2 linked regions of the Arabidopsis thaliana genome follow. The protein of the gene in region 1 interacts with the protein of each later gene in a pairwise test. Each region holds a gene or a part of one and is shown on either strand. Other genes may lie near its edges.

Region 1 (4,690 bases):
CATAACCACTGTCACCGTTCATAACATTCTAACCAAAAGCTAGCCCAAGGCTAAAGGGAATTATCCAAGCTGCTGTTAAACAAGTATTCACAACGTTTCATGTTTCCGACCAACGATCCTTTCATGTTCCCTTCTGGATCCAACAGAAACCTAACCGGCAAATCACTGCCTGTCACCCTCAACAATCCCTTTTTTTTAAGACTAGTGCCCGCTTGGACGCGGGCAATGATCTTGACCCCGGTGTCCCAAACCACATGGCCATCTTTTATGCTGTCTAGCTTCCGCGTGGTGAAGCCGACTGTTGAAATTGGTGTGTGATTAACTAATTGCTCACAAGAGTAGGGTGTGGTTGACTCAGCCTGTCAGCCATAACCCTACCTCCTTGTAAGAGTTGGCCGTTAACTGTGAAGAGAGATAACTGACAAAATGTGAAAGGACTATCAGCAACCAATGAGACGTTCCAGTTCGTATTGTTGGAGACGGAGACAGAGTCGACGAATAGGTCTAAGTAACATCTGCTAATGTTGATTAGCCCTATCAACAGATACAACCAAAAACCAAAAGTATAGAGCAGTATTACGTACATTCTACAATAATTTCGAATAGGATGGTCTATCTCGCCATCTCCGTCTTCATCTTCAGTCGTCGTTGAATTTGGATCACGAGATGATGTTATTTGAGACCAAGTCGTTAAATTAGGATCACGAGGTTCAATTTGAGACCACGACATTTTGGAATTATGGAAGGCTTAGTACATATTATGCTAAAGTATTATAATCAGCTTATTCTAAGAGAACAGTTCAGGAGACAACAATAGAAAACATGATATTTTTTCTTTAACTAAATATTTATAGGTGTTATCACTATAAGTTTTGTTCTTCCTAACAATAACAATAACTTATCTATAAATAACTTGATGTTTTAAGACAAGTGAAGCTGGTTTTGTGGCGCGAAAAGAAATCAATCTGTTGAATTTTCGGTTGTAGATCCGCAAAAAGTTGAGAGTTTTGTATCCTACTTTGAAGAAATAGATATCTTAATAAGTTTTGTATGTAATGTAACAATTTCTATCAAAAAATATTTTACTTTTACTTGTACCCTCATGAGTTGAATCTTGTTCATCCATATTTAAACATATTTAATCTGAGGATTGTGAGTTAGTAGTCAGTGTAAATCTAACAAATGATTCTGATAACAATGGTTTGGGATGTATTTATTTGAAAATGTAGTAGTTAATAATAATAACATGAAAAATCTAAGAACAATCAAGGAAAAGGCTCTTTCAAATTTAGAAAAGATGAGTGACATTCAATTTTCTTGTCACCGAGCATCACTCCCGACTTCATATCCGATGAGAACACTAGGGTAAAATTTCTACACTGAACATTGAAATGTCCTGGTTTGTTGTTCGCGGCAATTTGTTTATGCTTCATGAGAAGTGTAATATTAAGATTGTAGACACCTGAAATAACGTTGCTTCCATTGGCTGGTCCAATATCCTCAGTCTCAGCCGCGAAAACCACGGAAAAATCCGTGAAGCCATTGGAACGTTGGTAGTGAGAGACGTTTACAATGGCACTTTTTAGGGGACTAAGATTGGCTGACACGTATTCGCGTTCATAAGAGATAGAACACATAAAGCTAGGTTTCTTCACAATGAAATATACGATCCACACCGATTCAGAAGAGGAGGCGGAGACGGATATAGATTGGATTGAGAAGTTGGCCTTACAAGAAAACAAATTGTCGATGGAAAATAAGATAGCGTACACGGCTAGGAGGGTGAACAGGGCAGCCCAACCTGGTTCCACAAAGCAGTTCTCAGCATCGGGAATGTTAACATCATTTGGGTCTTCAATCTCTAATGTTTGGTAATCCATTTTGCTCTTGTTACACAAGTTGTTGAGCGACTTTTGTGTGTTTTTCAACTAATTGTAAAGGAAAGGGAGAAGGAATGATAGTACATGAAATACCTCCTTTATTATAAATTAACCTAAGGAATAAATGTGACAAAAGAAAAACATGACTAACTATATTTAGAATGCAAAGGAACATGCAAAACCAATTCAAGCTTTTCTTTAACCCAAACTAATAACCCAATCTACTTTGTTTAACTATTTATATGTTTTGGTAAACCCCACATTTACTAAATTAAGTCTTGTGTGGTTTTCCACATCGGACCAAAGAGTTTGTCTAACATTATAAAGTACGAGAAATAAAATGCAAGGAAAAAGAAATTATTATGGAGCAAGCGAAATTGTCCAACATGTTACTTAAGCTATTAATTATGTAAATAAGAGTAAACAAGGTTGCACTCTGCCCCATTGACATTTAACTTTGGGGATGTGTTTAATGGATTTATTAGACACAAGAAAAAAGTTTTTTGCAATTAAAGTTTTGAATCAACCAATTGGTCAACCAATGGGACAAGGAGTCTTCAACAAGTTTTCAACTATTAAGAAAGTCATTTTCTTAAAAAATAAAAATTAAACATTCTGTAGTTGGCCAATGATAAACATAATGTTAATTGCTTTATCAACTAATTCAGACAAAATTAACGGCAATGCCTTCCAGAAACGTGGCATCGTAGCCAAAGAAAATTTTCCGTCTAAATTTATTATTTATTATAAATTATGAGAACTGTTATATAGACGATTCCCTTACGGACAATTCCTTTCGACCCTTATTAGATCCACGACAGACGACATCTTCTTCTCCTTCTCCATGCGCTTAATAGACACCTTCAATATCTTCTCTGCGTAGAATCTTGGCGAACAACTATAATTGTTCTTCGTTGTAGATCTCTTGCATATTTGCTTCCATTAATTTGCAAATCTGCTAATAAATCGCAATAGCTGGAACTCGAACCCCAAATCTCTTAGTGTAAAAGTATTAACAGAAGTTTGAAAAATAATTTTTGTAATATAAATTGTATAATTTCTCAAAATAATTTTGGCTGGAAGCCCCTTGGCCCCTTGCTTTACAAAAATTATTTTGTTATATATGGTTTTTCTAAGGATTCCCTGTATTTAACCAAATTTGAATTTCAATTGACAATATTATATAGAGCCAATGTAATTATCAACCTTTACATGAAATAGATGAATTGTTTTTAGTTAGATAAACTTTCCTTTTTGGTTGTAATTCTCTGTTGCTAGCTAAGACAAAATCAAATACAACGTCACTAAAGTTACAATAACACGTGGCAAGTAGAGAGTTTGTTGGGGCGAATATGAATCATTTTCATTTTTCCTTTAAGCATCTGCAAAATTAAGCTTTGTTAAAGTCTTTTTCGAACCAAAAAAAAAAAAAAAAAAACTTTGTTAAAGTTCAATGATAAAGAAAGCACTTTTGTTTTTGTTATCCAGAACGAAATTAGCTTTTGCCGATGTATATTTTATTCAATTTATTTAAAATGAAATTTAGATCTCATCAAGAAACTTTCTAAAGTATAAAAAAATACATAAATGGCATGCGCATTGCACCTGAAAATGTGCAAATGTCACATACATGACCACGATTTTCACCTCTCACGTGTATTAAGTCATCAATAAGCATACATATCACTTTGACAAAAAAAGTATAAATCTCACGAATCCATTTACTTACTTTATTATAAACCAATTAAACTAACTAATAGTATACCAAAGTGATAAAAAGAAATGTTCCACGAATTTCAAGTTTCAATACAGTAATAACTTTTACAAGTCTCTCTTCACTCGTTTGTTTTTCCAATATGTTGAAGTTTATAAACTAAATAAAATAAATAAAAAGATTTAATCAATTTTGTAAATGAGGATCTAGAAAACAGATTTACTTGGGAAGTTCGCATTCATCTGAAAAAGAGAAGACAAAAGTCGTTTAAGTTAGAAATTTAGTTGACCCAAAACTGCTTACTTAGTACCAAGCAAATATATATGATCTTGTCATGTCCCCAAGAAACATGATCCAAAATTTATGCAAATGTCACCTATTCAAAAATCAAGTTTTGTTTCCAAAATTCAAGAAATATTCACAAATAATGCAAAAAATGATTAATCAATTTATTGGTGACTCCCAGTAATTACGATCATTAGCCAGTAAACAAAAAAATAGTTTTCAAAACGCAATTGGTTTCTTAACACTTGAACAACAAATCTTGATTAAATTATGTTTTTATTTATTTTTTATATATCTTGGTATTTATTTTAAAGAATGGAAAAGAGGGACCTAGTAATTATTATGTTAAACTTAAATCTCATAAGAAAAAAAAGACAAACAATATATTATTATTATGAATAATAACATTTCGAAGAATTTACTTAACTAACACTAAAAGCACAACAAAAGTACTCTAGTCTCTCTAAAGAATAATGATGATCCCTTTGTTTAAACATCAACGGCACATCGTTGGACAAGCTGGTACTTCACGGCTGGACCATCACCAGAAAAATGTCCGGCTAAGGTAATGTAAGCTGGACAATTGACGTGGAGGCGGTACCTACCGGAGACCCACGTTCCCACTTTCCATCTAACCCAACCATCGATCTTGATATTCAGAAGCACCATCCCCGCCGTTAGATCTTGGCTTAACGCCGGAGAAAAATATGGTGCCACCGGTACAGTTGTTCCATACAGAAACGGCGACCATATTGTCACATCAAGGTGGCCTTGGTAAGTCGCCGGCAATAACGTCGCCAACGTCACCTTA
Region 2 (5,773 bases), on another chromosome or scaffold:
CCACTCAATCATAATCTATAACAATGGACGTCTATGGCTTATCTTCACCAGACTTACTTCGAATCGACGACCTTCTTGATTTCTCCAACGAAGACATCTTCTCCGCTTCTTCTTCCGGTGGTTCCACCGCCGCTACTTCCTCTTCTTCTTTCCCTCCTCCTCAAAACCCTAGTTTCCACCACCACCATCTCCCTTCCTCCGCCGATCATCACTCCTTCCTCCACGACATTTGCGTTCCCGTATAATCTCTCTCCCTCTCTCTTTCTCCAATCAAAGTTTCGACTTTGAAATAAAGATTGTGTTTTGATTTTTGTTGTATTTTTTGTGTGCAGAGTGATGACGCAGCTCATCTTGAATGGCTTTCGCAATTCGTGGACGATTCTTTCGCTGATTTTCCGGCGAATCCATTAGGAGGAACTATGACTTCTGTCAAAACTGAAACTTCCTTTCCGGGGAAACCAAGAAGCAAACGATCAAGAGCTCCTGCTCCTTTCGCCGGAACATGGTCTCCGATGCCACTGGAATCCGAGCATCAGCAGCTTCACTCCGCCGCCAAATTCAAGCCAAAGAAAGAACAATCCGGCGGAGGAGGAGGAGGAGGAGGAAGACATCAGTCATCGTCATCGGAGACTACGGAAGGAGGAGGAATGAGGAGATGTACTCACTGTGCATCGGAGAAAACGCCACAGTGGAGGACAGGACCACTTGGACCTAAAACACTATGTAACGCTTGTGGAGTCCGGTTTAAATCCGGTAGACTTGTACCGGAATATAGACCGGCTTCGAGTCCTACTTTTGTTTTGACTCAGCATTCAAACTCTCACCGGAAAGTGATGGAGCTTCGACGGCAGAAAGAAGTTATGAGACAACCACAACAAGTTCAACTTCATCACCACCACCACCCGTTTTAGTTTTCACTTTTCACTGCCTCGTCCGTCGTCACTCTTTTTTTTGTTTTTCTTTTTGGTTCTTGGGGTTGGGTTTTGGGTAACGTCACGTGATGATGACGTGTCGCGATCCTAGCGGCGTTAATCACGTGACCGACGACGACGGGAGCCTAAAATTTTTAGTGAACGTTGGAAAATCAAACCTCATTTAATTGTTAATTATTAAAAAAAAATTATATCTTTGGGCTTTGCCTTTTCTCCTACGTTATTTACTTCATCCTTCAATTTTGTTTTCTTTAAATATTTGCAAATGATTTAATCATTTACTGAAGCATGAAATCAGAAAAAGCTTCATTAATTTCCGCTTACACTAAACGGCGTCAGTGTTCAGACTTCCGAGTTATATATATTATCCACTTGCACCCTTATTTCGACTTCACGTTTCGATCAAAAATTGGGGTCCTAATTCCGGTTTACGAAATTGTGATTTAAGGTTCGGTTTACATTATACTCTAATCAACAAAACTGATCATATAAGGTTTGATTTTCAGTTTAAATTCAAAAGGGAAAATTGGATTTAAAAATACACCTTCATGGATGGGAGACTTAAACATGACAACATCATCATGAACTTGTATTACTAAGTACTAACTATCGCCAATGAACGAAACCCTTGAAAACCGAAGACAACAAGAGATTACATCTTTAGCATTTGACACGAAACCAAAAAAAAAAAAAAAAAGAGTTTGAATCATGTTGTAGACATTATTATTGTGTAATTTTGCTCCATCATCTAAAGAAGAACCTCAAGAGTAAAGAAATTCGTAACTCGAAAATGGGGTTTGGTTTGCCTCATACGGAGATACCATAATTGCTGATCTTGTTCACTTCCTTTGTCAAAGCGTTTCTCTCTTGCTTCACTTCAGAAGCACGCTTCGATATCTGAGGTTGAACAATTGAGATATCTCCATTATACAATGTATATAAAATGGTTGTTAAATTTATTCCAACCAAGTTCAGCTTCTAACTCTAGATCCCAGCTCCTATACTCTACCTATAAGAGCCAAAAGACAAGTAACACTTACTTGAGTGCGGAATCGAGAAGCTTCTCTCGTTGGCAGTTCTTTTAGTACATCTTTCAAACCTGTAAATAAAAAATGATCATGGTCTAAGTCGATAAGCTTTGTTACGGCGAAAGTTTTCTTCTTCTGTTCTATGCATATTTTTGGTTTCACAAACTGTAGCATGATAGCACAGAAAGGTGTACCTGCTGCTTGCTTTTCAATCTTATAAGCTGAGCTGATCGCACCTCTGATTTGTTTGCCTGCTTGCCTGTGTAAGAAGATGAAGAAAGTTAACATAATATTCATGTTGATATATAAATCCAATATACAGATGTTGTAATTTGTCTGGATCATAAACCTGAGTTTCATCCTTCCTCTAATGAATTCCTCTTCTGCCACAGTTGCAACTCTCTGAAGCAATGAAAGTTAAAAATTGTTAAGAATTCAAAAACCGTAATCCAATACCTGCTTCTAATAGACTACTTTCACTCAAGACCATTGACTATTAGTTGGAGGGTATATAACTATATATCTATTGACTAGGGTTAAGAAAGAGTTAGACTCAAGAATATCCTTGCACTAAATTACTTCAACCGTGAAAGGCTATATGCCTGCGAAAGTAGAAGCATTCATCCATATCCACTGAATAAGGCTATATAGAAATTTCTCTGGTCGAAACCTAACCCCTTTCAATTTTCATCCTAAATGCCACACATTCTATTTCAAAATAAAGGGATGTTGAAGCAAAACCGAAAGAGAGTAATATAGCTAACTAAACGCATAACATAGGCAGTCTTCTCCACAAACGTCAACCTCATGTCGAACAGAACAACTCATTAAAACAAAAGAAGAGGCTTACCTCTAACTTTTCACTCTCGGCTTTAAGACGATCCATTGATTGTCGCAACTCTTTTACTTTAAGATCTGCTCTAGAAAGCAAAGCCTGAATCCAAAACATACTGTCAAGTTTCAAGAACATATTTAACCACAGAGAGACCAATTTATAATTCAACGATGTTGTATACAACACTGACCTCTTCACTAACAAACATGCGTACAGTATTGTAATATACAAATCTTCTGGTCTCTGCAAACAAACAAGAGCAATCACTACAGTTCATAACATTCTAGGCGATTGAAACTCTAGGGAGATTAAAAGAATATCCAGAAAACGTACTTTTCAGAGCAAAAATCCCAACTCCAAAAGCTAAGGTGCCTGATATTAGCGGATGAGATGCAGCAACATTCACACCATCTACATACAAGATTGACAAACATATGAGCTAAGAGAAAAAAAGCACAACAACATAGAGGTAGCCACCAAAGGTAGAGCAGACCTTTGATCTTCCCAAACACCATTTGCTCGTAAACGTTATACTCAGAAGCAATGTCTCGAAGAGAATCCTATAATATACCGAAACCTCGATTTCGTGAGAGGATAAACAATCACACGGATGACATAGAGAGTAGATGCTGTGAATTTCAGATTCCCTTTGGATTCCAATGAAAATTAGGAGGTTGTAGTTAGCTTACGATGGTTTGGCTCGTGTGAGCTACAGAAGTATCTCGAATCTGAGACAATCGAGCTTTGGAGGCGTCAATGGTAGAATCCACCGTCTCCGTGATCGTCTTCTGGTAAACAAGCGCCTGACGCAACGCATCATCGATCCAGGAAGCCGCATTTTCCACCGTCGTCGTTGCGATCTTCTGATACTCCGGCGGATGCACTGGCGAAGATTGTTGAATCTCCGGCGATTTCGCGTTGTCCATCTCTGAGGATGATGATTCTCCCAACGCTGCCATTAGAAAAGATCTCTCCAATATCGCGACCTCCTTCGCTCAAGTTCTGAAGAAAAACCCGGTGGACAAAAGAATGACCCGAGTATAATTTAATCGGGCCCCGTTTCAGATTGACAACTAAGACCCTGAAAAGTTTAGTTTATCTCCAACATTTCCCATCTATTTCTTAATTGTTCAATAAACGCCAGAGACTTTTATAGATTAGTTATGGTTAATAGATTAGTTATTTCACTCAAGACCATTGACTATGAGTGTGTTATGCTATCAACAATTGAATTTTTTTAAAGTTAAAAAGGTGATAATAGTACTCATTGTCATTTGTGAGATGTATAAAAAGCTCATGCCTATAATATGTGTGAAGAATATTGAAAATTTGAATGTAAAGAAACTGGAATTGTGAAAGATCGTTTATACTCTGGTAATAAACCACAAAATTAAAACATTAACTTGAAACCACTGTATAATATTTGGATCACTAGCAGTCACTTAGGGTGGCATTGTCTTCAACTATTATCTTTGTCATCATTTGACAAAGTAGAGCTTGCCCATAACATGAAGCACAGCGACGAAAGCAATGAAACCGATGCTCATGATAAGAACAACATTGGGGGAGATCTTGAGACCAGGTGCGTCATCGGTGTAGAACTGAAGCATGGATCCGGCTGCACCACCAGAGGCACCTCCTCCACCAGCACCGCTGGTCGGCTTCCTCCTACGCATGCTTGCAGTTGCAGCTGCACTTCCTCTCTGTGGAGCTCCACTTCCCACCATTCTTTCTTCTTTTCTCTATCTGAGAATAATGGTTGGCCTTTAGGAAATCGGAAGCAAAAGAGCGATCATATATAAAAAAAAACAGAGAATTATTAAGCAAATGAAATAATAGGAGACATCTAAACACCATTAAGCTCATGTTTAGTTTTCCATGGTCATACATTCTATATGATACTAGAAACCTCTGGTAAAAGATTTGCTTCCCACAAGGCAACTACGTATACCCAAATTTATATACTACTATCACATTGTTTCCATTTATCCGTAAGCTCAAATCAGTACAAATTCAGGTTTAATCATGTAAATTACTTGGTACAATCCTGTTCTGGTTAGCAAGAGTTCTTAGAAACGTAATTGAAAAAACTTGTTTCAATTTGACATATACTATATGAGTTTGAGCTGCATTTTCAGGAGATGGAAGATTCGAAACTCTCAAACGCAGAAAACTAATTTCAGCATCGAGTCAACAAAACTAAATTAGATGAAGCAATCCTAAAATTCTCAAATCAGCGAGACAAAAATTGAACATGCAAAATTCTATGTAAAATTCTCAGATGCTATGCATGTTGAATCGTATCCAGATCGGGAATCGTATACCAGCCGCGATTCAGATTCAACATCGAGATCTCATTTTCAGATCTACGCACACGCTCATCTAACAAATCCATAGATCTACCAATTTCCTCAATCAACAGAGATCCAGATCATAAACAACAAAAATAACAAAGGGCTCACCTGATTCGGCTAACAGATTTTGATGACGACGAGAGAACGATTCGTGACGGAGAGATTTGAAGACTTTCGGAGTTGACCGGACTCTTCAACAATTTTTATAGGAGGGGAAATTTCTCGCCACGCATCTCTTAATGCATTAGCCAATTAAAAAATGCCACCTCAGCGTAATTATCAGAGCTGTGTTTACATGCGTAAGTGGGAGAGATAACTTATTTAAAGCCCAAATATTAAGGCCCAGAAGAAGCCCAAATTAAAATGTATTAGCAGCATTACGCGTACAAGTACATATATCATTTATATTGTCAACAACCTTTCGCACGACAGAGAATTAAAAAGAAATGTTAGCTGAATATAATGAAGTAGGGACAAAGTTCTTGAATCTAAAGATTGATTGTGTAATCATATACTTTATTTGTAGGTCATACGAGAACAAATCTGAAATGTGTGATTTTACAGGCAAAATTAATGTTTATGACTTTCTTTTGATTCCCTAAATCAAAGGACAAAATCTAAGCC

Evidence for each region.
Region 2: the proteins of AT3G44230 (region 1) and AT2G45060 interact in a protein complementation assay, tested with the Arabidopsis thaliana proteins (one large-scale study listed by BioGRID).

What each region holds. Positions count from the first base shown.
Region 1 is NC_003074.8:15,929,324-15,934,013, reverse strand, and holds AT3G44230 (uncharacterized protein), read right to left. Parts: upstream 1,881-4,690; coding exon 1,266-1,880; downstream 1-1,265. Other genes in the region: AT3G44235 (uncharacterized protein), read right to left, coding at 51-298, 379-730; AT3G44220 (Late embryogenesis abundant (LEA) hydroxyproline-rich glycoprotein family), read right to left, coding at 4,369-4,686.
Region 2 is NC_003071.7:18,582,935-18,588,707, forward strand, and holds AT2G45060 (alanine-tRNA ligase), read right to left. Parts: upstream 3,940-5,773; 5' UTR 3,755-3,939; coding exon 3,485-3,754; intron 3,356-3,484; coding exon 3,289-3,355; intron 3,207-3,288; coding exon 3,129-3,206; intron 3,039-3,128; coding exon 2,986-3,038; intron 2,895-2,985; coding exon 2,811-2,894; intron 2,363-2,810; coding exon 2,310-2,362; intron 2,220-2,309; coding exon 2,155-2,219; intron 2,032-2,154; coding exon 1,973-2,031; intron 1,830-1,972; coding exon 1,740-1,829; 3' UTR 1,357-1,739; downstream 1-1,356. Other genes in the region: GATA2 (GATA transcription factor 2), read left to right, coding at 24-239, 333-911; SEC61 BETA (Preprotein translocase Sec, Sec61-beta subunit protein), read right to left, coding at 4,274-4,522.